Arabidopsis thaliana: one gene and its partners. The protein of the gene in region 2 interacts with the protein of the main gene of each other region in a pairwise test. Each region holds a gene or a part of one and is shown on either strand. Other genes may lie near its edges. The genes, in order: AT4G18630, ckl8 and AT2G27770.

Region 1 (9,797 bases), on a different chromosome or scaffold from region 2:
ACTAGTACTGCCCTTATCAGGAGAAGGTACAGGAGGGACTAAAGGTGGTCTTCTCTTCTTTGCATTGGTTACTGCAGGGAAAGACCCGCTGCTTCGAGGTGAAGCTTCAGTTATAATCCCGGGAGAAGGACTAGGAGCTGAAGGAGCAGGCTCAGCCGCTAAATTACTTGTCTCCTCGAGTAGCTCACGTCGTTTGTAGATATCAGTTTCCTCCAAAAAGCCTGCAAGAATCAGATTGAAATGACACCTTCAAGTACTTATCTCTAGTTTCTACGTTAAATTTGTTGAATCCAAACTGTCTTTGGCTTACTAGGGAATGCTTTCAAGAAACGTCTGGAGGTTGCTTTGATCCGGAATACAATAGCTTCTACCTTTTTTACTTGAATGATACGGTTTCTTGAAACACTGTCAAGGAAGATGAACGGTGGATATGCATAACCAAAAAAACACTCTTTGTGTTAGATGAATCAGAATATATATTACAGAGCTTACCAGTGTCCAAGTTTTCTGTTAATACAGCCGAGAACAGCCAAAGGTGATAACTTTGGACTCTTCTTTAACCGAACTTCATACGAAGATTGAAGTCTCACGATCTTTATTCTCATATCATCCGAAAATTTGTTACCAGAAAGCAACCTACATCAGTTCAACAAGGTCGTAGCAAACAAACATTTAAGGTACACTTCTATTCAATACATTTTCTTAAGAATTGAACATTAGAAATGTTAACTCACAAGTGTTTTAGCGATAAGCCATTGCTTAGCTCAGGTGGAATTTGTCCGCTCAAATCATTCTCTCTCAAATCCAGGACTTCCAAGTTTTCGAAACTCCCATACTCCTTTGGAATTCCACCGGAGAAATGGTTCCGAGAGAGTATTCTGTAACGACAAGAAAGTGGTTTACTCCAAGAAAAAACAACCAAACATGGAAAAACCGGAGTTGAGTCATCAAAGAAAAGATCCTTACAGAGATCTTAAGTCACTCAATTGGCTAAGCTCAGGAGCTAACGTTCCTTCCAAAGAATATCCGCTAAGATCCCTAAAAAAACACAACAAAACATTTATCAGAACATAGTTACACTAATGGTCTCATCTTCTCATAGTTTAGTCTAAAACAGAGGAACTTACAGAATCTGCACTTTACCGTCAACACAAGTAACCCCTGACCAATAGCAGAGATCATTAATACCAGAAACATTCCAATTCGCAAGAGTCCCATGAGGATCTGAGTTGACTCTTGCCCGGAACTTCAACAATGCGGATCCTGAATTCAACACAAATTAAAGCATGAACGAAAACCCTAAACAAATCATTTAAAACAAGAACAAGAAGATAATAATTATAAAGATCTAACCTTGGGAAGTGAGGGACAATGAGAGAGGAGCTTGAAGGCCAATGATCAAGAAGAAGAACCAAGGGAAGTGAAATCCACAACCCATCATTATAAGGTTTTTTACAACAAACACTATATACTAAAGATTTTTTTCCCTAATTACAAACCAAAATCCAAAAAACCCATTTCCCAGAAACAAACTTTCTCTTCTATATAACCAAACCAAATATCAAAAGAAAAAAAAGAAAGAAAGAGAAAAAATGTTAATTTTCTATATATTACAATGTACAGAAGAAAGAAGAAAATTGTCGGATATAAGGGTCCTTGATCATCATTTTCCAGGTTTGAAAATTGATTTTCACAAAACCCTTTTCATCACAGTGTTAATCTCTGGGATCTAACAGCTTCTTGTGGATCTCTTGATACCTGAAGAAAATGCAATAAAAATAACAATAATTACCAAAGGGGATACCGTTTCGAAGAAGCAACGTATATATACCTAAAAAAAACATTATGTTGTTCTCTTTAAAATGAGGAACATTGCAAATTACGTAAAGGAACCAAACAAATGATAGGTAATGATAAAACTTACTGTATAAAGGAATTCCTTATAATGCAAACAATGTATTATTATGTTTCTGGATGAAACCAGCAAGCGGGTAGGGCAAGCAAGAGAATGTTGGTGAGAGGATTTAGAAATCAAAATATCCCTAGAAATCGATCTTGATTATATTTTTGAAAATCGATTTCTCGTTAGTTTTTGCAGGATGATGATGATGATCTCAGAGTTGTCTCTCTTCGACCATCTTTGGTCTCTCCAGGGCCAAAGGGTGGTGCCTTCTCTCTCCTCCCTCTTCCCTTTGTCTTCCCTCTTCTCTCTCTTTGCACAATTTGTTTTCTTTTTTTAATTATTTCGAAAATTTTCCAATTTCACAACCCCTAATTTTCTTGTAGTTTACTTTTGGTTTCTATTTTTTTTTTTTAATAATTATACGTGCTTAACTATACTACACTAAGCCACGTCACCATAAGTATTTTAAAACACAAAATGAACGATTTATGTATTTTTAATTTTAGTATCCAAATCTATTCTCACTCTCTAATTTTGTTATTTTAAAATCGAATTCAACAACAAGACTCATGGGGCATGGGGGACGTGCCTGCCTCTTATACTTTACTAGTGCGTAATAAAATAGTGAATCTTTGTGACCGTTGGATATCGGTAATCCAACGGTTTTCATATCGTTTGTGTATAATGAGCACTACCACACATGACATGGGGTTTTGAATTAATGTGCATGAACATCATCAGTCATCACCCGTAATTTGACAAAAGCAAAAAAAAAAGAGCATCATCGCTAGTAACATGTCTCCCATTACTTTCTTAAAATATTTTATTCCGTCATGATCAAATGTCAATTGCAGCTGATATTATAAGAAAAAGAAGTCAATCAAAATCTTATATTATATGTGTGTCTTAGACAAAGATAGCTCTAATTTCAATTATGATGATATGATCATATATGATTATTTAAGAAACTTCATCGGTTTATCGAATCGACACTATGAATCAGCCTGGTTATGTTGTATAATTGTGCCGGTCTAAACCGGCTAAGTCAGAACTGGTTAGGCACGGAATCCATATTGTATCTAACATCAATAACATGAGGTCTTCCAATTACAAATAATGCGGTCGGAAAACAAACGCCACAATTATAACACACACAAAAATATTGAAACATAAAGAATCAATCTCGGGTACATTTGTGTTGCCTACAAGAAAAATAAGAGGCAAACCTTAAAACTATTTATTAACTTAATTGTAATGTAAAAACAAGAAGTAATTTGTCTGGTTTTATGTATTTTGCTGGCGAGATGGATAAACAATCAGCTCCTGCATAGAAGAATGTCACAAAGAGAAGATATATAAATTAAAATGTTCAATAATACAACGTATTTTTAAAAGAATTCGATTTGTTAGAACCAAAAATGTTCAAAGAGTAATTAATACCTGAGAATAACGAGCGTGATCGTTGTGAACATACGATGTTTTAACGATCGTTTCCCATTTCGTAGATTCAAGAACTTCTTGATTCAGTTTCTTGATACCAACTTGACCTAAAACGACGCCGTACGGTCTCGGGTTCACCGGCGGTAGGAGGGTTCGTCCGAGCCAGGAACGAGACGGAGTTTCCGGTAACGGAGGAGGAGAAAGCGCAGGTGTATATTCCGACGATGTTTGTTGAAGATTCCCTGACTTGTTGTTCCTTCTTCTGTTTACTTCCTCAACAAGAAACCTAGAATCGTGAATTGTGGTCCGTTGGATCCTCGAAGGAGTAGAGATCGAGTTTCTAAACATTTTGATCTCTCCAGAATTTGAGTAATTAGGAAGAACCTCTCTTCTTGTTCTTGTTGGATACAGTTCTTGAGACTTGCTTATTCCTCTGTTTAGCCTTTTGAAGCTCTCTGGTTTCTCGGGAGTTCCGAGAAAACCGGAATCCGAACAAGAGGTTCGGTACGGAGAGATAAAACCGGAAAGACGCCTAGTTGACCAGTTTGGTAAACTGGTTTGATCACCCGAATGTTTCATAGACCGGTTTGATACTGAATCCAAAGGAACCGGGTTTAGAAACTTGAATGAGTTCTTCGCACAAAGCCTTGGCAAGAATCCGCAAGCTTTCTTGGTAACTTCAGCTGGGTAGATCTTGTGATCAACATGACCATAATCATCACCATCATCATCATTCTCGTCGTCTTCAGTATCATCATCAATGTTTAAGTCATCGTAAAGACTCTGAACAATGGCGAAATGTTCATGTTCTGCAACCAGTTGACTTCTTTGACGAGCTACGAGAGCTTCTCTGTTCTGAGTGATTAGCTTCTGCTCTGAAGAGTTATAAGAAGATTGATGTTTCTGATGTGTCTGAAGAGCCATTGCTTTAGCAGCTGGTAAGAATCTTGACATCATTAGATCAAGACTTTCTCTAGACTTCTCATCACAATCAGATCTCTCACCGGTCTTCTCGATTTCGCTAACTCCACTTGTGCTGCAGTTAACAGAGAAGCTTACATTTGAAGAAACCGTATCCAAATCTTCATCTACTTCGTCTTCTTCTTCATCATCGGTTTCTAGTAGACCTGACTCTTGAATCAATGTAGCCATGTCATCTTTTGGTTTTCCAGGGATTTGTTCCCACATAAAAGGAATTGAAGCTGGTTCTGTGAGATGATCAAAGCTCTGGTCTGGTAATACAAAAACCGGCGTTTCTTGTTTTGTGCTCGGACATGATCGAAGCTCTGGTCTTGTAATCGTCGTCTTCTTATTCTCTAACTCACTTGAACGCTCTATCATAGACGGAATTCGCCTGATTGATGGTAATGGAGCATACAAATTCAATTTCTTTCCCTCCATTCTTGAAAACAAAAAGAAGGAAGAATAACAAACAGAGTCTTTGTTTTGTGTATCTCTTCTCTTGCTATGTGTTTGAGATTGTAGTTGTTCTTATTAAAGTAAGAAAATCGGAAAAATAAGAATAGAGTTAATGTATTAATATATGTGTGTAAATGATTGCCGAATGTCTAGGACCGAGATTGAAGGCTGGAGTTTAGGAAAATAGCAGATGAATCTATTATAAGTGTGCGACTAAAGAATTGTCAATAAAGAGACTTTCTCTTTAACCTTGTGTTTGGTTGTTTTCATTTCTTATATAAGTTATAATTGAGCTTAGAATAAATCCCATCCCCCACAAAGATTTGATTGAAAATTAATGATGAGATATTGAGATCAACTACTTTTCTTTTTGTTGGAAATTTTATGTATTGTGAATACATAACGATGTCGTTAGACATCGGAGTACAAGAAGATCAGAGACACAAATTTGGCCCTAATAAGGTGAAATATTCCTCAAGGCAAAACGTGAGGAGTAGTTGTGGTTCAAGTTTCAACTGTATTTTTTTTTTCTCTAAAAGTAATGAAACAAACAAAATAAAAGAAAAAGTGAGAAAAGACATTTATGTGAGCCAAATTACCGACTTTGGTAATGTAACACATGTTGTTGTGTCCTTTTCCGAGCCACGCAACGTCGTTTATAATGTAAGCACTAATTTTCTTTTCTCCGAATGCACCACTAATTGTTTACTTTGTTTAAAGTCTTTGAAAGAAAAGTCGCGGCATTCGCCTCGACGGATGATGGGGCTCGATTACGATATATAATTTAATTACTTTGAATTACTCATAACATTCCAAAAAATTGACTTATAATTTGCTAAAACAACCGGCCTTAGATATTGACTATAAATTAACATTTCACTTCTAGATTACATAGTGTATAGTATATTACTTTTAGATTATGTAATTGTTTTCTAGGTAGTATAGTAATCGTTTTAAGAGGAAAAAACATTACTCGGCCACCTCTTTCCGTCTCCAATATTCAAAACTTTGATTTTTAATTGCTAAACAAACAAAAAAAGAATGAAGAATAATAGTATGAAAAATGAGAGAAAAACTAATAGAAATGGTATTTGAAGAAATTTCTTTTAATCATAACTTAACTATCTGTTTGTCGTTACTTATGTTTTGGTAGGTACTACATTTATTAATAACCAATTCTTCAAAAGTGTCTATAAATAAATTAACGACTGGTCAAGCGAACATTTATTCTAATCTATCTAATACAAAAAGAGGAGGAGAAACCCATGAAAATTTGTAAAGTAGACAATAACTTGAGAAATATACACCTGAGAAAAAAATCGATTTACTGAAAGAAAGTGAAATAAGTTTCGTTGACCAAAATCCCTAAAATTGCGGGAATGAAAAGGACAAGGGAATAAGTATCCTTCACGTGGCAACCACTCACACTCCCCCACCAACACCCAAGCTTTGAAATAGCAAGCCCCACCAACACCCAAGCTTTGAAATAGCAAGGCCCAATAGTCCATTCATAAAGGCCCAATTCCCGAAAAAACATGAAAATTTCCAATCTTCACCGTTATATTTAGATCAATAGAACCTCTATTTTGTCTTTCACCAACTTGTTCAAAATAAATTATATCTGTTGATTCGGTCGGTTTTTGATAAAAACACACCAAAGTATTATAGAGTAAACCACTCCATTAGTTCAACAGCTCAATGATTCAACGGACATCATAAATTCATAACCTCCGAACAGATTTGAGTCAAACGGCCATGAAATTCACGAGATCTACAGTTTAGGTCATCATACTTTCTGTTCTGAGTGTAAAATACCTTCCAACCTAATAATATTATACTAAAGTATTGATATTAATTAGTTTAGAACTTCAAATTAAGAATCTTACATGATGCCCTTTTACTATGCATTATGCAAAATGGACAAAGAATTATCAAGAAAATTTTCAAACATGTATTTAGTCTAACTTTTGTTGTCAGCAATACAAATCAGTATATTTAGTAACTAAACCAACTGAGTCAACAATTTAAAACCATTATTTCAAAGATTCCTAATTGTAAAAATGTAGAAATAACCTTCATTTTATTTCTCTTCATAAAAGAGTAGGAGAAAAGAGACAATTACAATCACGGAAGAAAGAAACCACACGAGCATATTATTCCGATTCTTTATATTTTTATTATTATTATTGCAATGCTAAAAGCCTTAAAGATTAAAAACTAATCCATAACGATCCATTTTTTTCTTAATCCAATGATTCATAACTATAACTACGATTAGTTTATTGATTAGCTTAAACATATAGAGCTTACTTCATCATTTTCTTTGTGAGCTTAGCAAGTGAAGTAAGGTTATACCGAATAATGTTATCAACAAAAAATATTGTATCTTCCTCGCTAGTTCCTTCCGGCACATCCACCACGTAACTCTCCACCACCACCGTCTTCTTTGCCATATCCTCCGGCGACGCGACCACCTTCGTTTTCGATTTGTAATTAACAAGCCTATGGTTACCGCCAATAATACTTACCACCATCACGTGAGACTCATCATCTAGCTCTTCGAGCCTCTCCGTGCTGAAATCCGCCGGGAAGCCGGAGACTAACGTCACGTCCCGGACGGAGCCTTTTCCTTCTCCTCCTTTGCCGCCGCCGCCGCCAGAGCGCATGGTGCAACTTTTGACGAAACGTTGATAAGCTTGTGGTTTGTCGAAACTACGTAGGATGGACCACACTAGTGGTAATGGTGCTTCAATGGTCTCGACTACGCTAGAGCGACATCGTTTTTGCTTAGAACTTTCCATTTTCTGTTTTGTTTTTCTAATGGGTTTGTCTTTTATCGACGTGTATTTTCGTGTCTTACTTTAGAATTTTCGTATTCACTTGTTTTAAAGCATATCGAACGAATCTACGTACATATAAATGAAGGCAAGCCACCGACTAAAATATTTTTATAGTGTTTTATATTGTTTAATTTATTTACGAATTCTTCATGTAATATTAAACTTTAGAGTTCGATTCGAATTCTTCTTACTATATACTAACCAAAAAACATTTTACAATATAAACTTGTACACAAGTATTGACTGCCTTGTATAGTGAAAAATTACACAATCTTGTTGGCATATTTAGAAACTTTCTTTTGCTTTTTGATAAAAGGCTTGCATATTCTGGAACTTGGTTTTATCAAAAAGATTAACAAAACCATCTGTGAAGGGTATTCTGACAAGAGTGATAGGGAATATGGTTTTAACAAACCCTCTTTGAAGGTTTTTCTTTTGACTATATCAACCATTTAAACAGAAAGAGAGATATACGAGTATCTTTTCACGAAGAATTAAATATCTTACCAACTGATAAAAATTACCAATATTATATTAAAATCTAGTCGGTCTATTTTGGAAATTTGCTGCAGCAATGTTTTGGAGCTAAATATAGATAGATGTGTCATTGCCCACGAGGTAAATACAGATGTCATTTAAACCGGAAAAGCACACAATGGAATTTAGCGAAACACACACTTGTTTACAAACATAACAGTGTTTCTCTTAATTGGTTGCCGACCAGAAAAAAAAAGAATCCAATCTTTTTTCCTTCATAAGTGTAATGTTCTACGTATCCAATCCGAGAGCCATGCAAGTTCTACATATCCAGGGTAGGCATATTCAATGTTCCATCAGTCTATTGCCTATTAGAAATAAGGCCCGTATAAGCCCAAACTTTAATGATGATATTTTCCATTTATACATTTATGCTTCACCCCACACAGCACAAAATCCATTCTGTTTTGGTTTTGGGTTTCAAACTATCCAGTCCGTTTGTTAGTCCTTTTCTTGGCTTTGGTTTTATGTTTAGCCTTCCTAGACTAAGATCATGTTTAACGGCCGGCATTGTGTCACCTCCATGGTTATATAAATAACAAAAGTTTTAGATGAAAAAAAAAACTCAATTCCAATGTGTAATCTGTAAAGACATGAGATAAAATGTAATAGATTTTTTTATATATATTTATAAGTGGATTATAAAGGTAAATTGCAAATTAAAAATGGGTAAAGATATGAAGTAAAATAGAATAGATTTCCATAAGTGTATTATAAGAATAAAAATAAAATACATGGAACAAATTATATTTGGATTTAAGTATTAAAAATATGACTTAATAAACTTATAAAATTCAAATTATTCTTCTCTTAGATATCCATCTCGAGAAACATGGACATGATGACTATTTAAAATCCAAATTTTCATAAATTGCGTCTTAGAGTTGTAGCATATATGGGAATTGAGCTCAAGCTGAAATATATACATATATTGTTGGGGCTCACAAGTCACAATCAAAAACAGAATCGCAATTTTGGTATTTCTCAAACTTGCTTTCTTTATGGTAAGCAAGTGAAACCAATGCCCATTGCCACCCTCTGAACAATCTTATCGGCACCATTGATAAATTGTTTTGCAACCGTATCACAACTTTCTGTGTTATTAAGAATAAAAAAAGTTCGAAGGTAATGGAAGTTGTTCTAACAAATGGAGTTCACTACCTTGTAGGTTAATAAAAAAAAAACCTTTGATTGAATGTCTATTTATCCGGTCTAACAGAAAAGAATACGTCAAATTTTTTATTTTTTTTTATCTCTATCAGTAAAATTATTTATTGATGATCAACAAATTTTTACACTCAAAGAAAATGAGACGGGCGCAAGTAAGCCGAGTTAATTAGCAACTACAGTAGATATGATAGATCAAAACTTCCGATTTGTAACAAACCGATACTTCCAAACTCATGAATAACATATAGTATACTAGTATATAAAGAAACAGGGCAACATGGAATCATATTAAAACAAGCTTATGCTAAAACTCATGGCTCCAAGCCATCATTATTAAATACTATGGTCTATGGCTAATATATAGCTAGCTACAAAAGCTACAAACATATATTAATTGACATATATGTACATCACTATATATAGCCTCTCTCCGGATTCTAGGGTTTCGGAAAACTCTTTCTACCGACTCGATCGTTTTAACTTAATCA
Region 2 (11,495 bases):
GTTTATATCCTTTAAGATTGTGCTTTCTATATGATTAGTAGAAAAAGCAATTCTATCATCAAATTGTTTAAGCCGAGATTTTACCTTCTCTTTTTTCATTTTCTGGAGGTCAGCTTTGAAATTTCTAAGTTTGTCAGCACGTGCTCTTGCTTCATCTAAAGGACTCATCTTTGTCGGTCTTCCTTTCCGTATTGGCCCCGGAGCCTTCCTCTTATCTGCAGCATCTTTAGAAAGTCTCGATTTTGGATCTTTTACTAACTTCTTAGCACCTCCAGCTGCCTGGCTATTCTTCTTCAAAGCTTTGGATCCAAACTCTAATGCAGGATCATACCCAGCTGATAACTTCTCTGTTTCCCGTTCGGGTATCAGGCTCAGATCATGAGGCTCATAATTGACCTGCTTTCTTTCATTTCCATCAGTTTGATAGCACGAAGAGATCTCTGAACCAATGTCTATAGCATTTCTCTTATTTCTTCCAGCTTCATCTCGGGCTGAAGATACCCGAGTAACAATATAAGAATCATCATCCATGTTTCTCTTATCCAGACCATTCCTTGGAGTATCAAATCCATTCATGTTGAGAGGATCAGAAGAATTCTCAAAACCATTTTCTCTCTGGTGAACCATAAGAGAGTCACTAGATCCCCTGATTCTACGAGTCACACTTCCATTCCGAATATCAGCTGTATCCCTTTCTTGATATTTTCCTGATTCACGTTCACCATGTGCCAAAGGATCATACTTTCCTGTACCTTGCCTCTTCTTCCCTCTAATCTCCTTTTCCATCATATGGTCAATGGAACGTTCATCTCTGTCAGCATCTTGCAATAAAAAAGTCTGGAAGGCCTGCCAATCCCCAGTGTCAGCCTCTGTTCCTTTTGTTGCCCTCTCTTTACCATTGTAACATTCTCCTCTTGCCACTTCTTCATGATTGTCATCAGCATCAGATTCTGTTCCAGAATTATCTTGCTTCTTTGAATTAATGTAATTTATATTCCGAATCACCACCTTCCCTGATTTCCTTCTTCTACTTGATTTTTCATTATCTCTTTCCTGATCTTCTGATTCGGAGTCCTCGCTACAAGATGAATGATGTTTCCGAGCCTTTCTTTGGCCAGAACCACGTCTAGAATCATCGGTAGACGGATAGGGAGATGGATATGGACTAGCTCCTGGATAGCCTGGGTAGTATGGCATGCCCTGCATCGTATATCCTTGAAATACTGGAAAGGTGCCCGGTGGGGAGTGAACTGGCCAGGGTGCATACATCGGCTGCCGATGCTGCCCTTGCACATATTCTTGATTTCCATTTCGTTTGTTGTCTGTAGGAGACTTCGCATCTGGATACAATAAGTTTCTCGAAATGAATATCAATTGTGCCAAAAGCAATGCCAAACAATGCAAGAAAAGATATTCAACTCTCAGCTACTATGACTCATAAGAATCATCTTACCACTATTTTCAGGTGTCCCAGGCATATTAGCAGCATTTGCGAACATAATCCCTGAGTCGTTCATTGTAGAGATGTTTGGCTGTGTTGCCATTACTTCTGTTGCTTCAATTTCAACCCACTGGCCAGTTTCGTGCTTTTTCTTCCACAAGTCCATGAATTTCACACATGCATCCCTATAACATTGTTGAAACCAAACATGAGAAGTAAGTCTATGAAAAGTTTCTTTCAAACTTAAAGACTTTAATGGATATGAGATTATTGGTTGCAAAACAAAGAAGAAATTGGTGTAAACTACAATCTTCTCACATCAAACGTGAGGCTCCAAAAGTTTTGGCGAAAGATATAAGAGGAATCATATCATCAGCCTCAAAACCAGCTGCCACAGCACGTGCAAAGGCCATTCCTTGTTCTTTCTGCAACATTATCTTCCGTGTCTCCAGAACTTTCATAACTTGAGCTCTGATACAATTCCACATATTACCAATTAGATACTTAACTACTCTCTTTGTTGAAAAACATTGAAAACCAAAAAACAATTCACGCAAAGGGGTATACTTAGAGTTTTCATCTGATGAGGTAGACCGATTTGCTTGCTTTGGATGGGAATCAGGCTGTTCAAATGCAAGAAGATGATATAAGTTGTTTGTTCCAAAGAGAAAAATAAGAGAAAAGGTCCTTTAAATTATAGAAACCATTTCAGTTCTAATTGACCTCGTAAAGGACAATAGCTTTCTCCTCGTTGAGCTGTAGCAAAGGCCTGCTACCTGATTCACATTCTCACATATTGGTTAAACAGAAAGATCAATAGCCAAGAGACACACTATTTTCGATTTTATGAGTTGAGATTTGCTTAGTATCAGTCAAATCCTGAGACGGGAATATTGTTTTTCCAAATCAGTAGCTTTAGCATAGAGACTCATAAATTACATAATTTTATCCTTATGGCATACCTTCTGCACTATCTGCTTTTTTTGCTCGATGATCGTCTTTCACCTGTTTATACAATATACCATTAAGTACTTCTGACCATACAACAAAGAAAGTATTCAAAAGTCCCAATATACTTACAACAGTCAATGCCATTTCCGAGTTGTTCTGAATACCAATGGCTTCCTTGATCTGTATAATCTCAGTTTCTAAAGTATAAACACGTTCTATGACTTCCGGCGTACTCACAAATCGAACAAACCTAAACGAGTACAAAAGAAGAAAAAACTCTTATCTCAAAGTGTCTAGTTCCATACAAAGACAACTAATGTATATGACACAAACCTTTCAATTGTTCCTTTAGTGAACCAAGCCGCATTGTCACTAGCTTCAGGCTTGAGAATAATCGAATAGCCACCTTTTTCCAATTGATCTTTTGCAGTCTTTAAATGAGCAAGAAATGGATCAAGTAACCCTGTAGCTATTTTCTCAGTCTTTCCATTAGCTGTTACCAACAAATCACACCTGTAAGAACCACAAAGAAAAAGACATTAAATTTTCCATAGTAATATGGTACACAAACAACAAAATTCAGTGACTTTTGAACCTATCAATGAACATAAAGATACAGTCTTTCTATTTGCATTGAACAGTTCTTCACAAAAGTTAACAACAATTTTCTGCTTAAGTAAATAAAGCTCACGAATACAAGAGTTTATACAATACAAGAGAGAAATTATTTTACATTAGCTGTTACCTACCTAATTAATCAATGCAAAGAAAAACACTTAAATTTTTCGTTGCAAGTTTGGTAAGAAACCTACAATTTTCAACGACTTTTGATCTTATTAATGAACCCAAAAAATGCAATCTTTCAACTTCCATAGAACCAATTTCTCAGAAAACTAACACAAATATTAACATTATAACAACTTTTGATCTTATTAGGAAACCCAAAAATGCAATCTTTTAACTTCCATAGAACCAATTTCTCACAAAACTAACACAAAATTTATCACTTTAACAATATTTAATCTTTTAAATGAACATAAAAATGCAATCTTTCGACTTCCATAAAACCAATTTCTCTAACAAGTCACACAAAGTTTAACACTTCTAACAATTTTTATGTCTTATCAATGAACATAACAATGCAATCTTTCGACTTCCATAGAACAATTTCACAGAAAGATTTAACATTTAGGATCAATTACCATATCAGGCTTCTCTAAAGCTGACGAAAACAAGAGTTTACACGAAATTTAACTTACCGGGTTCGAGTGGGAGTGAGCTGAAAAGCAACTGAGTCAAGCCGAGTCGAAGATTTCATCGCTAAATTATCCAAAGATCTTCAAAACTTTTTCAGATTAAGAAATCATCCGAAGAAAAACACAAATTGCAGAAAATCCAAGTTTAATCATAGAGAGATGGAGAAATAAGAGAGAGAGAGAGAAGCTTTTGTCTTCATTGTCTGCTTTGGATTCCAGCTGGAAGAGTGAGAGCGAATTTTCCGAGGAAGTGAGTGTGGGGGACTAAAATAGTAATATCGCGAAACATTTGGGGGTAAAATCGGAACTTCGCATGTGGCCACTGGTGTGAGTGTGAGTGTGTGACCGTGTGAGTGAGCTAGTGATAGTGAACATAATTTATGTCGTTATTGGCTCGAAATTCATGGCTTCTTTTTCGTGACCTTTTTCTTAATCTCTCAACGGTAAACAATGGTATGTATTTCCAGCATCCGTCTAATGCTTCCATTGGATCCATATGGATCATTTGAATCATTAGTACTTGATAAAACACATGGAATTTAGTGATGAGCTTAACAAGTTAAAACCATATACTTTATCACATATAATTTGTAATCAAATGATGTTCGATTTATTCCTTAAATTAGGAAACCGATAATTTCGTGAAATAAAAACAAAGTCTCCATCCATTAAAATGTCGCAGTGTCCTCCAACACGCTCACGATAAAGCCAAGCCTCTCACTTCCTCTTTCCATTCCCTATGGTGAGTAGCTCAAAGCTCTGGAGCGTGATGTCACGAGCAGTCCTCGACGGCGCAGCTCGGGTAAAAGAAGAAGATGACGGTCTAGTGGTTGGGTCAGGGACGAGCTGAGTCCTCTGAGCGGTTGAGGAACGGCCATTGCTTGGGACAACTCTGCTAGAGCGGTTCTCTGTGAAATCAGCTGAAGAAGTGGCTCGTACGCTCGATACAACAGCTTTTCTTGAAGAACTTGCGTGTCTTGTTGAAGAGATTGGTCTTTCGACTCTCTCATAGTTTTGCTGGTTTTGATCACGAAAGAGATTAAGAAAGGATTTGAATAGCCAATATAGAAAAGATTTCATGGTTTTAGAAATGACTCACTGGTGTTGTATCCTTTGACGATGCTAATACATTCTCTGAGGTTCTTGGTCTAGATCGATCAGCTTGTACCACACCGCTTCCTGAGCCATTTCTTCTAGCATATGCCTCTAAAGCACCTGAGAATCTATCTCGACTGTCTTGCCCAGCTCCAGCTGTATACATACACAAATTTGGTTTACTATGCCCGGTTTTGTTCAAACACCAAACTATGAGCAGGGAACATGATGGTTTACCGAGTCAATTAACAGAAAATCAACAGACGAATAGGCCTTGACATCCACTTAAGACATTCATATAAAATTGATGAACCTTTCTTATAGCAAAATGAAGAAAAAGAAAAGACAGAAACTAATCGGCTCCTAGGTGGCCATAAAGCACTTGATTAGCGCCTAGCTTTGCAAGTATAGGGAAACTGTTTGATGAAGCAAAGAAGCAGAAGCACACACGAAAAGATACACGGAAACTTAGGCAAGATGAAGGTTATTGAGTTGGGCTTACCTGAAGGTTTATCTGGTCTTTCGGCAATTGGTACTGGAGGATTCATAGCTGGTCTCAGGCTTGACTGTTGGAAAACAGAGACAAACGTGAGAATTTGATAATACGTTCTAAGGAATTTTCTAAGATGATGAAAATTTCCAAAAATATAGATGTTACTTACTCTTGGCTTGGAGCTAGAGCTGGAGCCCGAACTAAACTGTGGATACTTCAAGATTGTCCAATCAAATACATAGTCAAACTGATAACCTGCAAATATATAACATTAAAAACAAATTCTTTGAGTTTCTTATGTGAAAATATTCAAGCATAAGCTACTACAAAATCGAGACTTTTCCCAACCTTCTCGAATAAAGAGATCCCTGAAAAGCCTCTTTAGGTATGGATAATCTGGTTTGTCTTCAAACCGCAATGATCGTACATAGAGGAAGTATGATGTGAACTCAGGTGGAAAGGATTTACAGAGAACCTGCCAGTGGAAATTTAAATTGAATCTATGAATGCATCCATGGCAGTTTCACCACAGGGTTCCGGATATAGTTGAAAAATGGATTACAAATTGGTACCTCTACAGGTGTAAGCCTTTTCTTTTCGCTGATCTTGTCATACTTCTGTTTTTTGGTACCCGCACGAAGGCCTTGCCAAGGAAGACTAGCAAGAGAGACTGAGGTTTAGGGACAAATGGAAACAAATTGAAGAAAACTCTAAAATACTGGGTGAAGTAAAGATGTATCTATACCTTCCTCGAAGAAAATACATAAGCACGTAGCCAAGAGATTCCAGATCGTCCCTCCTACTTTGCTCTGTTTAAAGGATCTCAATTTAGTTTGATAAACGTACAAATAGTCAAGTTTTTAATGTGAAAATGAAAGAAGAAAAAGCAAACAATACTCACCAATTCCAAGATGAGTGTTAACACTTGCATATCGAGCTGTTCCAGTAAGATTCTTGTTTTCCCTAATAAGTAACTCTCGATTAGTAAATATATTACCAATATTTCACTAACAATTCGAAAATTTTAAATTGAGCAAAACTTTTTAACAAGAAAAAGAAAAATGTGTACCTGTAGGGAATGTGTCTATGAGTTTGGAGATCTCTATACTTTTTTGCAAGTCCGTAGTCAATGATGTACACCTAGACAAGAACAAAGATGACATATCAGAGAAAAGATGCAAACATATAGAAGGATTCACAAGGTAGTAGCAAAAGAAATTCCAAAACCAAACAAGTATATTATCATTCCACACAATAAAGTTGCATACCATAACTACTCACCTGGTTCGCTTTGCGTCCAAGACCCATCAAAAAGTTATCAGGCTTTATGTCACGATGAAGAAATCCCCGGACATGCATATACTCAACTCTATTGATCTGAAGAAATCAAATCATGAGCAACACAATAACTCAAACATATCAGAGAAAAGGTAGATAATATATCCGTACCATTTGATCTGCGAGCATTAGAACCGTCTTTAGATTGAACCTCCGACTACAATAATTAAATAAATCCTCCATACTCGGACCCAAAAGGTCAATCACCATACAGTTGTATTCACCCTCAACCCCATACCATTTTAGATGTGGAATACCAGCTTCAAGAACACAAATGTAAAAGTTAATAAAAGAACGATAACTGAAGGTTTAAACCGACAAAAGGCAAAACTTACTTCCTCCTTGAAGAAGCATATAAAGCTTTGATTCATAATGAAGTTGAGGATGTCTAGCTCTCGCAGGTTCCTACAAAGAAAAAAACCAAAGTTTTAGTAATCAAGAATGAGTTTTTACACATTACTGAATTGAAAAGGGTAATAGTCAAATGTTGAGACTTACAAGCTTCACAGCAACTTCTTCTCCAGTTTGTACATTAACCCCTGAAAACAAAAGAGTTATTACAAAAGCAAAACTTGGAATTACCAAAAGACAGAAGAAACTTCAAATCACATTACCTAGAAAAAGTTCACCAAATGATCCACTTCCAAGTTTACGTCCAAGCTTATACTTACCACCAACCACACGATCCATCGTTACCAAATCAAAAAGCTTCCTCCTTTCTTCGATCTCTTAAAACAACTAATCCCCAACAAAACCAAAAGTTGACCCAGATCTCAATTCAATGTTCCCTACCTCTCTAAAAGCCTGATCGAAATTCAAAGATCCCCAATTCAAATTCTAGTAAGAACCCTTCAAATATCTGAATCAAATCAAAATTGTAATCGATTCACCAAGTAATCTTATGCTTCTGCTTTAACACAAACTAAAAATCACCCATTGACCAACAACATCTTCATAGAAAGTCTGACACTTTTTTTCAGACAAAAGCTTTAGATCAGATTGAAGAAACACAAAATGAAACGGAAGAGACAAAACCAAAACAAAAAAAAAAGGTGAAAAGAACAAAGAGAGACGAAATCAGACCCAAAAAAAAAAAAAATGGGTCGTTGGATTCGATTATCGTTTGATCTATAAAGACTGCTACGAGACAGCTTGATTCACTATTTTTTTCTCTTTTTTTTTTGCTGAATTTTTTTTTTCTTAAGGAAGATAATGGATTAGAGACGAAACCAAACGTTAAAAGAAAAATGAAAAAGAAATCTGACGAGACGGCCTTGAAGAAGAGATTTTGAGATTTTCTTTCCTTATCCCTAATTTTTTACAACTTTTTATTTTTTTGCTTAACTAATTTGTTTTCTTTTTCTCCAAATTTGATTTATTCTTCATTAACTGTAAACAGTAACGTCACTATATGAAAAAGATGATAATTAATGACATAAAATTAGTTGGATTTTAATATTTTCTAGCATCTTTATTTTCTTCCGCTCAAGCAATATTGATTATTTTTTGGTAGGCCTCAAGCAATATTGATATTTGATTTGAAACTATTACATAAAAAATATCATAAAAAAACATAATATTCTACCAAAAAATGAGTATTTGATAATATATTTTTAAAAGTAAACAAAACAAAATTTGTCTCGAAACTATCAGATACACCATAAAAAAAAAATTGGTACTATTTATAAAATACTATATAATCACTTGATTGTTAAATTTGCTTTTTAATTTTTATTGGTAATAAGAAAAATTATTACTAACTCGATAAACCCTGATATAAAATATTTTATTATGTAGAATAAAGTAATATAATAGAATCGAATTTCGATTGATATTATATTATCTTCTTTTTTTGTTTAGACCATTTCTTCAATAACAGTGTCAAACATATAATGACATGCATTTTCTACAAAGACAGCTAGAACTTTAGTTTTATATATTCAGACACCACTTACAAAAGAAGAAAATATTAATTAAACATGAAAAAAGTAAACATTGAACATCCCCATTTAATTAGGGCTTTACCAAATTAGTCGGTACGATAAACTCGTCTAAACATTAAATGGGCTTAATTAGTTGGGCTTATTTTAACACTAAATTGGCCCATTATAACTTCCCAAAATGATATTGGTTCGAGATGATTCGATAACGTGGGCATCAATCCATGGATCATCTCAGCTTTCACCATCACCAATAAATAAACACACAGGTCTGCTTTCATACCTTCACGCTCTCTCACTGATCATTCACAATCTCTCTCTTTTTTTCACCGGCGATAATTTTCCGATCTCGATTATAAGATGGCGAAGGAACCAGTTCGTGTTCTTGTTACCGGAGCTGCAGGTAAAATTCTTATTTCTCCGATCTTGTTTCTTCCATCTCTCGTTATTGATTCGTATCGTCAGATCTTTATGTAACACCAATTTTTCATAATCCAAAAATGTAAACGATCATTGAATCATATTTTCGATTCCTATAGTGAGATCTGAAGAGAGAAATTGATTGGATCATTTGGTGAATCCTGTTACATTTTGAGATGTAATTGTCATTTTGGATCAGTTATTTGATTTTATCATGATTTGTTCTGATTTTGTAAGCTTTATTTGGCGATTGATTTGTAATTTTGTGTGTAGATCATGTTTAAGTGTGTTTCTGTTATTGTGCAGGACAAATCGGATATGCTCTTGTTCCTATGATTGCAAGGGGGATAATGCTTGGTGCTGATCAGCCTGTGATCCTCCACATGCTTGACATCCCTTTTGCAGCAGAAGCTTTGAACGGTGTGAAGATGGAATTGGTCGATGCTGCTTTCCCTCTTCTAAAGGGTAAGTTTTTATTCTAGTATATATTTTTACTGTGCTCGTATTGGAATATGGTATGTTGCTTGAGGCTGAAATGTGATGTTGGTGTTTTTTCTGTGGAAGGTGTGGTGGCTACAACTGATGCTGTTGAAGCGTGTACCGGTGTTAATGTTGCTGTCATGGTTGGTGGTTTCCCGAGGAAGGAAGGAATGGAGAGGAAGGATGTTATGTCCAAGAACGTTTCCATTTACAAGTCTCAAGCTTCTGCCTTGGAGAAGCATGCTGCACCAAACTGCAAGGTGATAAGTCTTTTCGAATCGTTCTTATGATCATTATGCAGAAATTAAGCAAGTTAATCTCTTATTTTGTTGTATGAGATATTTCATATTTGCTATCTCTTCGTTTTGTAGGTTCTGGTTGTTGCAAACCCTGCAAACACCAATGCATTGATCCTGAAGGAATTTGCACCATCGATCCCAGAGAAGAACATTACTTGCTTGACCAGGCTTGACCACAACAGGGCATTGGGACAAGTGTCTGAGAGGTTAAGCGTACCAGTGTCTGATGTGAAGAACGTGATTATCTGGGGAAACCACTCATCAACCCAATACCCAGATGTCAACCACGCTACCGTTAAGACTTCCGTTGGAGAGAAGCCAGTGCGTGAGCTAGTCAAGAATGACGAGTGGTAAAAATCTCTAAAACACCCTTTTAATATCTCAATCTAGTTTCGTGAATGTGATGCTCATGTATGTTAGCAACTAATGTTGTAGGTTGAATGGAGAGTTCATCTCTACCGTTCAACAACGTGGTGCTGCCATTATCAAGGCCAGGAAGCTGTCTAGTGCACTTTCTGCAGCTAGCTCAGCTTGTGACCATATCCGTGATTGGGTTGTTGGAACACCTGAGGTTCGTCATTACTACTGTTTTATCTCGAATCAATTGGTTGTTTTGTGTACTAAGTAAAACTAATATGTTCTTCGACTTGATTTCTCAGGGCACATTTGTTTCAATGGGAGTATACTCAGATGGATCCTACAATGTTCCAGCTGGACTTATCTACTCCTTCCCCGTAACCTGCCGTAATGGAGAGTGGACCATTGTTCAAGGTAAATATATTTCTCGTAACCAAAAGTTATACACAATGTTCTTAAGAGAATCCTAGCCTAAAGCTGACCCGTGTAACGGAACCGTAAACTGGATTGTCTACTTCTAATCCTAAGTGTGCAAGGCTGGTTCTCGCTGCGATGATTAGCTCATAGAACTAGATATTGGTCTAATATGTGTTGTTGTTATTCACAGGTTTACCGATTGATGACGCATCGAGGAAGAAGATGGATTTGACAGCAGAGGAGTTGAAGGAAGAGAAGGACCTCGCTTACTCATGCCTCTCTTAAACCGGTCTTTTCTCAGCTGGTTTAATCAGTGAAAGCTTTGTTTCGAATAAAGAAGTTTTGTTATAAAATGAACTTTTAATAACCTCATGAGCTTGAGGTTTAGTTTTCCTAATGTGCCCATGATGTGTCGGTACTGATTTGCTGACCAGATATAAACAATCATTTTGATAATTGACCTCTTTTGGTTTCCTTTCGTAACGGGAGAGTGGAGAGTGGAGAGACAACAACAACTCGAATTTTTTGGTAGACTTTTTCAGATATGGGCCAAAGCTTTGTTGGGTATTCTTTTGGCCCATATGAAAAAAATACAAAAGATTTCGCAATTGTGAAATAAACAGCTTAAGAATAGTATTATAGAATAAAATCTCGCAATAATATACTCCATGGTTTTTATGCGATTTAGAACAATGGGATAATACTAAATTAATAATTTGAATTAATTTTACGTAATAATTTTACGTAACATTTATTTTTTAATTTACTATTATTATTTAATTATGCTATTTTTACTATTTACCAGTTCATCCAAATATAAAACCTTATTAGCCTATCAAAAAAAGAAAACGTAAAACCCTATTTCATAGGTTTTTATCTAAAACTAAAACCCTATTCTATGAGTTTTTTCTCCAAGACTTGCAGTCACTTTGATTTATCTTGTAATTTTATTTTTAAATATAATTTTTTTTCTATAAAAGAGCAAATATAGCTGCAGAAGATAATGAT
Region 3 (9,497 bases), on a different chromosome or scaffold from region 2:
ATTGTACCAATTACTATAATTATAATTGTATATTTGTATTCGAGGAAAGTTCTCCTTTCATTATAAAAAATTGTTAAATTCAAAGGATAAAAATAAAAGACATGGTTGTGTGCCTATATATATGGGGTACACTAACATTTACAAAGGACACATGCAGGGCCATGTGAGGAGCTTAAGCAAATTTAATGCTACTCTTATTCAGAGATACCGTTACTTATTCTTTCTTTATCTTTTTAAAAAAATCTATTTTCTATATTTTTAATTTCCATATTAAAAATTAAAAATTGTTAATAAACAATTTAATTCTACTAGAATTTGTTACTCTAAGAGATTAAATTGTAAAACAACTACTTTGTTTATGATATTGTAAGAGATCATTTGACTGAAGACAGTTGTTATGATTCTTTGGCAGTGAAGTTTGGAGTATATGGAGAAATAAATATTTGCAGAGCAAAAGAGTACTTGTTGGATGAGTATACAAGTACTAGTAGGGGAGAGGGCTGATAGATTTTGATTCGAAAATTAAATTGTAAGACAATAAGGGACCACTAATGAAGGGAGTGAAAGCAATACAGACACTGTGTGGCACATGTATCACCCTTCCCTTTTAAGTTTTTTCTTATCTTTTTATTTCAATTAAAATAAGAAAGAAAATAGAATGTTTGACTAGAGGATATTCTTAAGGAGATTAATAAGTGTGAGGTTTGGGTTTCTTAGGAGAGACGTTTAGGTGAGAGGGAAGCTTTGGTTTCATTAATGGAAGATATATTAAGTTAGAGAATTCGTATTCTCTTTAGTTTGTAACTATCTGAACTACGTTGATAGTGAATTCCTAAAAGTATATTTTTCAAGACCTAAGATTGCGTTGAGTTTAGAAAACTCGTAATACTTGATTGTGTTTTCTAACTTAATTTCAAACGTAAAAGCTTTTAGGACAGTATGAAGACTAGATTCAAAAGTTTGGAACATGATATCTTCTATACGAAAGCAATGGGATAGAAGATACGAAGGTTGTATTTCGGTTTGGCTTGTATCAAGACAAGAAAGAAGCTAGTTTCTAATTTTTTCATTCGATAATCATATGTTAAAAGCGCTTAAACAAATGCTCCATTTATTGTAAAGTTTTTTTGGAAGAAATTTTACATTAGTTAAAAAAGAAATGAAGAGTGTATTTAAAAAAAAAACTCATATGGTTCTCAAAGTAAAAATAATAACAAGGATAAAGACATCAAAACGAGGTTGTTGAATATGCCAATCCATTGATTATTTCAAGATAGATTGTACACATAACAAACAAAATATAGAAATGATATAAGTTCAAGTAAAAATGAGAACATGTTGGATTGGAAAGGGTTCAAGAAAGAGAACATAATAATTTGATATGTATAACACAAGATTTTCCATATAGAACTATGTATCACAAATTCACAATGTACACATCAGATTACTCTAACAAAAGACTGGTTCATAAAGCTTGAATCATTCGAGGGTGCAAAGGCGATGATGGCTAATGACATTTCCTCTTCAATCAAATGCATTTGTAAGGTGAAGTTCACTAATCATCACTATTTGAAAATTATTGTCACAAATGTTAAGAATGGCTCTAATATAGGGAAAAAACACAAATATATGTGGAGATTTTGGAAGTTCATGATATTTGAGTTAAAACCTTTTCATAATATCACAAAGAGTATAACAAGCTACTAGAATAAAATTGGCAAAATAAGATATACACTCTTGAAAGATATATATAATCTGTTAAAGAGTAATGGGTCAAATACATGAGGGTGTCATCGGTAGGTAACTTGGTATAAGTTTCTATGGATGTATGATAAGGATTATAGTGGATCACCTTACCTCAATGTAATATTTTTGTAGCATAGTTCGAAAATGGTACCATAAACCTACTACATCTTCACCAAGCTATCATGTTCATTCTATAAAATTCTTTATGTTTTCTTTGGTAGAACTATTAATTCTTTATGTTGTTTTGACTAAGTTGCCGATATAAAAATCTCGAAAGAGTAAAACAGGCATTATGATTGTTTTAGTATATGCTCGAAATTAAGTAAATCTGAATGGCTTATCAATATAACTGGTTTGAGATTTGTTAAGAGAAAATATAATAGAAGTGGAGAGGGATGACATGAACCAAATTTGTTTTATAAATTATTATAAATTCATGATCAAATTGCAATTAGTGATACCATGTGAAACATTCTTTAATGTTATATGGATGAAACATCCAATTGAAATATTTCTAAGGTTTAGATATATATTTGTTTATAATATGCAACCTGAATTATTCATGGAATGCAAATGTTGTTAGTGACTTAAATGAATAAATGGTAATGAATGTCCAGGCACCCCATAGTGCACATATTACATTTTGTATCATACATGGTTTTTTAATTTATATATCGTGTTGTGTGAAAACGTGCTATCGATATCTCTCTCTCTTAAAGCTTTGTTCATTATATATGGGTTTAACAGTCAAATTTCTATTATGTGTAAACAATGGTAAATTTGTCAGCCTTTCAAATTCTGGATTAGTTTTAAATGACTCGAAGCAGTATTTTAATTATATTGTAATGTTATGTTGACCGAATCTTTATTTTGTATCCTATTGTATTATAGTAATACTTATATCCTTTAAATACAGAGGCATGGTTAATCTTAATCGTATGATATTTACATGCAATGATCATTTTAATACTCCTAAATTTCTATAGTATTAAATAGTTAACTCCAATTTATCAAAACTCAAACTTATATGAAAACATAAATTCGGACTGACTATAATCAAATTCTAAAACTAAAGCTTGAACTACTTACATCACCTAAAACTCTCCAAATCAACCAATCTAGAAAAAATATTTGCTTGAATGGGATGTCACCACCTAAACCTCGCCTAACCGAACCAACTTAACTAAAAATTAGCCATTACTAGACATATTTTCTTACAACAATTTTAACAAAAAATGTAAAGAAAAAACTTTGTACTTTACAATGTAGTCACCTAAACCATGAAGAAATTGTTCCTTGAATGATCGAGATGTTAATCACCTAATACATTCCTAACCAAAATAACCTAACTAGAGTTGGAACTTGAAAACATAATAAACTATGCCTTAAATTTTCACATACTGATATTCTAAAACCAAAAGAAAAAATAGCATTTTACATTTTTACTTCATTCACAAATTTTGTTAGATTAATAGGAAAAACAAATTAGCATGAGTAGATTCTAGACCTTTTAACTTTTGTACTTTAAAGAGGCTCCATGCATATCTTTATAGGCGTGCACATATGCCCCAATATATTCTCATCTTATTTCACACTCTTCAATTCTTCTTCCTTAACCATAATCATCAATTACTTCAACATTTATGAAAGAAAAAAACGTATATCTGTAGATGAGCCTACATAGTAATAAACATCATAATGTTGCCAAGAAAGAGAGTCATTGAGACAAATATTTTCCCAACAAATGACTTCAATTTAAGATATGGCAATGTTCTTGAATTTGTAAGAAAACCAAATTTAAAATAAAAATAAAACAACAACTCCTATGAAGAAATTCACATCTTTTGGAATCTCTCAATATTAAATCACAACTCCAACCAAAAAAAAAAAAGAATGTAAGAAAGAAAATAAAATCTATACTCCTCCCAAGAAGAAATTGTAAGTTCAAAAAAAAAAAAAACCCCATAAAAATATCTCAAATATTAAAAACAGAATCAATCAATCAATAACCTTTTTCTTGTAAATCTCAAAAAAAAATTGAGTTTTTTTTTTATAATGTTTTTCAAGTCTTACAGGCGTAAATGAAGAGAGAGAAGTCAAGCTTGTCTTGTTGATCTTTCTTAACAATCTTCTCTTCTAACCAAAGCCTGCTGCTGTCTAAACCATTCCTTGTCCTAAACATGAACACAGCTCTTCCACAAGCTCCTTGATTACTAAAGAACCAATCATGAACATCCCACATCAGATCCACAAGCAATCCATCCAAGAAAATCGTTTGATTCCCTCTGAAATTCCATTGAAGCCTCTTCACTTTTATCACCGTCTTCTTATCAATACAAACAGAGAGAACAGGGTAATGATTGCTCTGTTTTAGACCCTCTGTTTCTTTATTACATCTGATGACGATTTCATGTGAATCTCCTGTCTCAACGAATCTTACTTTAGTCGAGTAAAAAGTATTGTTCCCTGTGAAATGTTCTTGTCGAGAAACAAGAGAGAAATCGAAACCGATATCGCCGGAGAAACCTTTTTTACGGAGAGTTTCTTCAGATGAATCTCCAAGAAGAAGACCCATTTGACCATCAACGAGGACGATAACGTAGAAGCCATTGATAGGTTCAGGACCACACAAGTTAGAATCATATTTAGCTGAAGAAAGATCCCAAAAAACCTCGATTTTACCGAGATCGGAATCAACCGATTTGTTACCTTTCTTCTTACGGAAGAAACGAGAAGAAGTGTTGAGTTTGAGAGTTGTTGAAGGGTTTTGATCTGCGGATGCAACAGAGATGCTTAAGCCATTGTTGTTGTGTGGATTGCACCATGTGACTTTGATGATGAGATGTTTCGATAAAGTGATTCTGTAGATGCTTGTAATGGAGGTTTGTATTGATGGTATGAGAGATGGTGAGATACAAACATTGTTGGTACTGTATTTTGAACATGATGATGATGAAGATGATATTGATAAGGGATGTGTCACGTTTATTGAGTTCTCACTGAAACATGACACCAAATCTCTCATTTTCTTAGGAAAAAATTGTAACAGAAAAAATGAGATTTTCTTGGGAAAGAAATGAGATTTTCCCAAGATGGGTTTTGTTTGCTTGCTTGTTGAGACAACAAAGTGTGTTTCTCTTTTACTTTGAGAATACTTTGAGAATCAAAAAGATCAAATGTTGTTGAGAAGAAGAAGAAGAATGAGAGAGTTAACAAATCTGGGTTTTTGTAGGTTAAAGATTTGAGTTGCTTTCTTTTTATTTCTTCTCTGATTCTCTTTTTTTTTCTTAATGAGAGAGAGGGAGAGAGAGAAATGGATTAAGGTCTCTGTGTGTGTGCTAAGAAGAGAGTGGAGGTGAAAGGAGCCGAATTTAAGTAGTTTTGAGCTTTCATTGTCTAGGGGACACAAATTTGATGTTGATATTTTTTTTATTTTTTTTTATTGTATAGTTGTATGCTAACTAATTTTAAAAGTTTTTGTACTTTAATATTTTATTTTTTATTAATAAATTTCTAAAGGGAATTGAAATTTGGTGTTACTCAAATATGACTTTTTGATTAACTTAAAATTGTTTATGATACATTTGTAAAGTTTCTATAAGAGAATTTAAGGTTTATGATTTTTATATAGATCAAAATGATAAACATATACTAATTTAGGAAAAATATTAGTGTATATATAGATTGAAAAAATGTCTGAATTTACAGATAGAGGAATTCTTCTAATATAATGATGGTCAAAGCAACTCTCAGTTAATATAGACATAATATAATCGTTATAATTAGTGAGAATTTGTTTTGAACCATCCATATTTTAAGAAACCGTCATATAATTAAAGGAAGGTTCGTAATGTAGTAATTACGAATACGTTTTTCTTTTTTCTTTTGTAGTTCCATACATCGGAGTCAAGTCGAGAGTTACAATTTATAGACGAAAAAAAAAAAAAAGTTTCAGGCAGCTAAAACTACTACCAATAATAGACTTGTTGCAAAAATAAAAATAAAATGTTTTTACTTATATTTATTTAAAAATATCCTTAATCCGTTTTGAAGAATCGGATATATTAGGAGTTTGTATACAGAATCTACTAATAAAATTTTGGATCAGAAGGATTACATATATGAATATGTCAAGAATATAAAAATATATAACAAGAAATTAGAGTTACACTCTTAGAAAATTTTACAGAACAAGTTTATGTTTTTTTTTGTCTTTTAAATTATTTCATGAACCTGCTTAACTGGGATATCTTAAATCTAATCCAATTCACTCCAATAAAACAGATATCCAATCTATTTGGAAGTAGGTTTGAATTGGTTGGATCCAAGGTGAAATTATATATATATATATATACGGTTCATGTTTTTTTTTTTTTGGTAGTAGAAATGGCATTTTAAAAGCAAGATACTAGAGAAGTGACTGTGATTGTGATCTACTGGTGTTCATAAATTGATACCACCTCACCTGAGATTGAGTCTCCTTCTCATACGATAGAGTTCATTGGGATAATAAACTGACATGTTGTGCCCATATAGACTAAAAAAGCAAATCAATAAAGCTTCATAGAAGTTAACAAACAAAAGAAGTAAACCCGGATATAATGGTCTCGGAACAAATCGGATCGGATCTAAGAGAGGAATTGTGAGCCGGTTGTACAAATTCTCTTAACCGCCAAATGTTGGAACTTCGTTTATTTGCCTGTGTTGGCCTAGATTTTCTCCAAATTTTGATTATTCAAACTCTTGAAATGATATAGAAGTGTTTTAGCCAAAACAATTAGCCCAATTTATTACTTCTCTTTTATCACCTATACATTAATAATAAAATTTTAGAATAAACTTTTTAGTTGGGTTACCAAATCCAGAGGGAACAAAATTTCAAAAGAACGAGACCGTCTGCTTTAAAAATTGAAGGAACGAGAGATTATTTAAAGACAACAAATTTAAGAAAATAAACTTGAGGCAAACCAAACTATTTTCCTTCTTAAATTCTTGAGATACATTATCTTATCGAAGTGAGCTCCATCTCTTCTATTGACGCCCGCCATGAAATGATATTCAACTATATATTGCATCGATAATATATTATATGACATAAGTAATACAAATATTCAAAATAAATGATATAAAATTCTTTTTTTGGTAGTGATATATGGGGTTCTGCATCCGATCCGGTTTTGATGAAATTCTTAATCTTAACCTATTATGCGAACACTCAGCAAAATCCAACTCGTATTAACACGTTAGTACTATTTTATAATCAGAATTTTAAAAATAAATAAATACTATCATAGCTATAATGAAACAAACTAAGCCAATAAACATAGAAAGGAACACGGTTGCTTTGTTTGTCGTGACATTTGGGTGTGGACTTTGGACATATTTAAAATCCAGCCAACCTAGAAAAATTATATTATCACTAGATGTCTCTTGTCGAGCATAAATTCCATTATAAGAACTCATAAAAGATGTCTAATATGTTTATATAAATGTTCATGTATAGCCTGATTTTTGGAATGGCCAAGATCGCAAAATATGTTCTATTATATCCACTATAAAAAAGAAGAGTTAAAACCACTCGAAACAGCGAAAATGTAAAGTGAAACATTTTGCATTTCATTCATTCGTTCAATCAAAATATTTGCAGATTCTTTTTTCTTTTTCTCTTTTAATACCGTACTGTTACACTGGTATCGAAATACTACCGTATCAACTTGCAAAATGATTATAACTTATAAGCATTCAGTAGAAATCATTTATTTTTGTTAAACAGTAGAAATCATTTTTTCGATCCCGAAACGAGATGATGAAACTAATCACTGACAACCATTTTGTGAGTTTTAGTTATTGTATCCTAAACATTTTGATGGAAACATGAGGGTTCTTTAATAATTAAGAATGATGACCATTTCTATCAATTACTAATTTAATCAATTAAAACCTTTTCTATGCGTTCGTTATCGGTTTTGGGCGAAAATAATTATTTGGTGTTATAATAAAATAAGAAAGTAAAAGTTTATAAAGACAGCCTAACATATGGAGATCCGAATAATAGGTATCTTGCTTTTGGAGCTTTCTGATTATTTAATCAAAATGTTTTCAACTTATGTTCGATCTGGATTTTATAATAATTAAGATTCTAATCTGTGCAATAATAAGGTATTTCTTTTTCTTTTGAAATAGGCCACATATAGGAAAAAAGTTCTTGAGTGTAATCATATTGCTGATCGCAAACTATTCATATTCATATTTAGTGACATATAAAGCAAATCAAGGCCAATATGACCTCGAAAATCTATGCAAATAACTTAATAGACTGTTAACAAAATGTGTCAGTATTTATTTTCTTATACATCTCAGTCAAACATAGGAAACTAGGATTTTACACTTATTATTATACTTTGCCCAAAAAAAAGCAAAAAAAAAACAAAACAAAAACTTATAATTACACTATTTTTTTGGTGCTATACAATTCACAACATGTTTCTGTTTCTAAGTTTCTAAACTCATACTACACGTCTCTGACAAATACATGTAGGTCTTTTAATCAAAAATAAAATAAAAATAAAAACGTTTTCCCATACTGTAGTTATATCAATATGTTTTGATTGTTTTCTATTGTTCAAATGTCGTCGTGTTTTTGGAGTAGTTCGTTGCTGGGAAAGTTCTTTAATTACGTGATTATGTGGGCAAGTCAAGCCGTTGACCTAGACACCTAGTTAAGAGAAGGATGATTTGGTATATATATATATATATTTGACATTATGAATTCATAAAGAACTTAGTGAATATACATAACATAATGTATTTAATTGGTATAGATGCATTGTAGAGAAGTTACATTCAATTGAGAGGTCAATGCTATTGGGTTCATAAAACTTGAGAAACAAAATAGAAATGTCATGTGGCTGCATGTGATTAGAAGGTACGTCGAAATCAATTCCATTCCATGAGTCTATTCTCCTACTGTCCTTTTATTTTGGGTAGTATTGTAGTGGTTTAAGACTTTTTTACAAACTTAAATATTATTAATTTAGACATACATACATGGCCCCAATTTTAATTTAATAAGTAGAAGATAACATTCTAATTAATAATTAGGGGAACTAAAAAAGGGGGAAGAAGCTTTGGTGTAAAACGATGATGAAACAAAGCTTGCCTGATAACAACAACATTATATATGATTTCTTTTAACAATACCAAATGTCAGCATCAATTACCAAAATCCAGTAAGATGAATGGGTCTATGATGGGCATATTTTCACAAGTTGAAAACATGTTTAAAATAGTGACAGAATAATAATGTTTGGTTAATTTCCATCTAGTCTCTGTTAATTTCTACAAACATTAAGTTCAATGACTAGGTTTGTGTTAGTGTCGTTGTTACTACTTATATTCAAGCTCACATTTGTTGATTTAACCAAAAAAAGAGAAGGAAAATGGATATTTCAAGTAGGTTAAGCCGGCTGAAAACGTATCTAAGGTTTGTTAATGATCTCAATCGTCTTCGGTTTGTGATTTTCGGTTTAGTCCAAGGTGATTCGAATTTCTTAGAAAGTCGACATGAAAGAGTTAATATCTTGGGAAAATGGATATGACATTAAGGCTGCTAAAACAAGACTCAAATGGATAGGAACATTAAAGACAATTGTGAAATGAATTGGGAACATCGACCGCAAACCCTACAATGTACAAACATTTTTATTGAAAAGGTCCCCTATCCACTTGTGAGGGTTTTGGGTAATGTCCCA

What was found.
Region 1: the proteins of ckl8 (region 2) and AT4G18630 interact in a two-hybrid assay, tested with the Arabidopsis thaliana proteins (one large-scale study listed by BioGRID).
Region 3: the proteins of ckl8 (region 2) and AT2G27770 interact in a two-hybrid assay, tested with the Arabidopsis thaliana proteins (one large-scale study listed by BioGRID).

The regions. Positions count from the first base shown.
Region 1 is NC_003075.7:10,252,125-10,261,921, reverse strand, and holds AT4G18630 (hypothetical protein (DUF688)), read right to left. Parts: upstream 5,146-9,797; 5' UTR 4,745-5,145; coding exon 3,344-4,744; intron 3,227-3,343; coding exon 3,188-3,226; 3' UTR 2,965-3,187; downstream 1-2,964. Other genes in the region: MRH1 (Leucine-rich repeat protein kinase family protein), read right to left, coding at 1-221, 311-405, 493-636, 735-878, 967-1,038, 1,128-1,263, 1,354-1,441; PYL13 (PYR1-like 13), read right to left, coding at 7,069-7,563.
Region 2 is NC_003076.8:17,381,678-17,393,172, forward strand, and holds ckl8 (casein kinase I-like 8), read right to left. Parts: upstream 7,924-11,495; 5' UTR 7,265-7,923; coding exon 7,189-7,264; intron 7,114-7,188; coding exon 7,073-7,113; intron 6,980-7,072; coding exon 6,910-6,979; intron 6,835-6,909; coding exon 6,686-6,834; intron 6,614-6,685; coding exon 6,518-6,613; intron 6,377-6,517; coding exon 6,306-6,376; intron 6,200-6,305; coding exon 6,138-6,199; intron 6,046-6,137; coding exon 5,982-6,045; intron 5,894-5,981; coding exon 5,809-5,893; intron 5,712-5,808; coding exon 5,585-5,711; intron 5,492-5,584; coding exon 5,406-5,491; intron 5,310-5,405; coding exon 5,246-5,309; coding exon of another isoform or gene 5,130-5,245; exon of another isoform or gene 4,903-5,129; intron 4,900-4,902; coding exon 4,748-4,899; intron 4,666-4,747; coding exon 4,366-4,665; 3' UTR 4,083-4,365; downstream 1-4,082. Other genes in the region: AT5G43310 (COP1-interacting protein-like protein), read right to left, coding at 85-1,340, 1,454-1,626, 1,760-2,064, 2,165-2,217, 2,404-2,642, 2,726-2,905, 3,652-3,710; c-NAD-MDH2 (Lactate/malate dehydrogenase family protein), read left to right, coding at 8,875-8,917, 9,241-9,399, 9,499-9,674, 9,786-10,063, 10,149-10,284, 10,373-10,484, 10,678-10,772.
Region 3 is NC_003071.7:11,829,281-11,838,777, forward strand, and holds AT2G27770 (DUF868 family protein (DUF868)), read right to left. Parts: upstream 5,148-9,497; 5' UTR 4,772-5,147; coding exon 3,809-4,771; 3' UTR 3,263-3,808; downstream 1-3,262.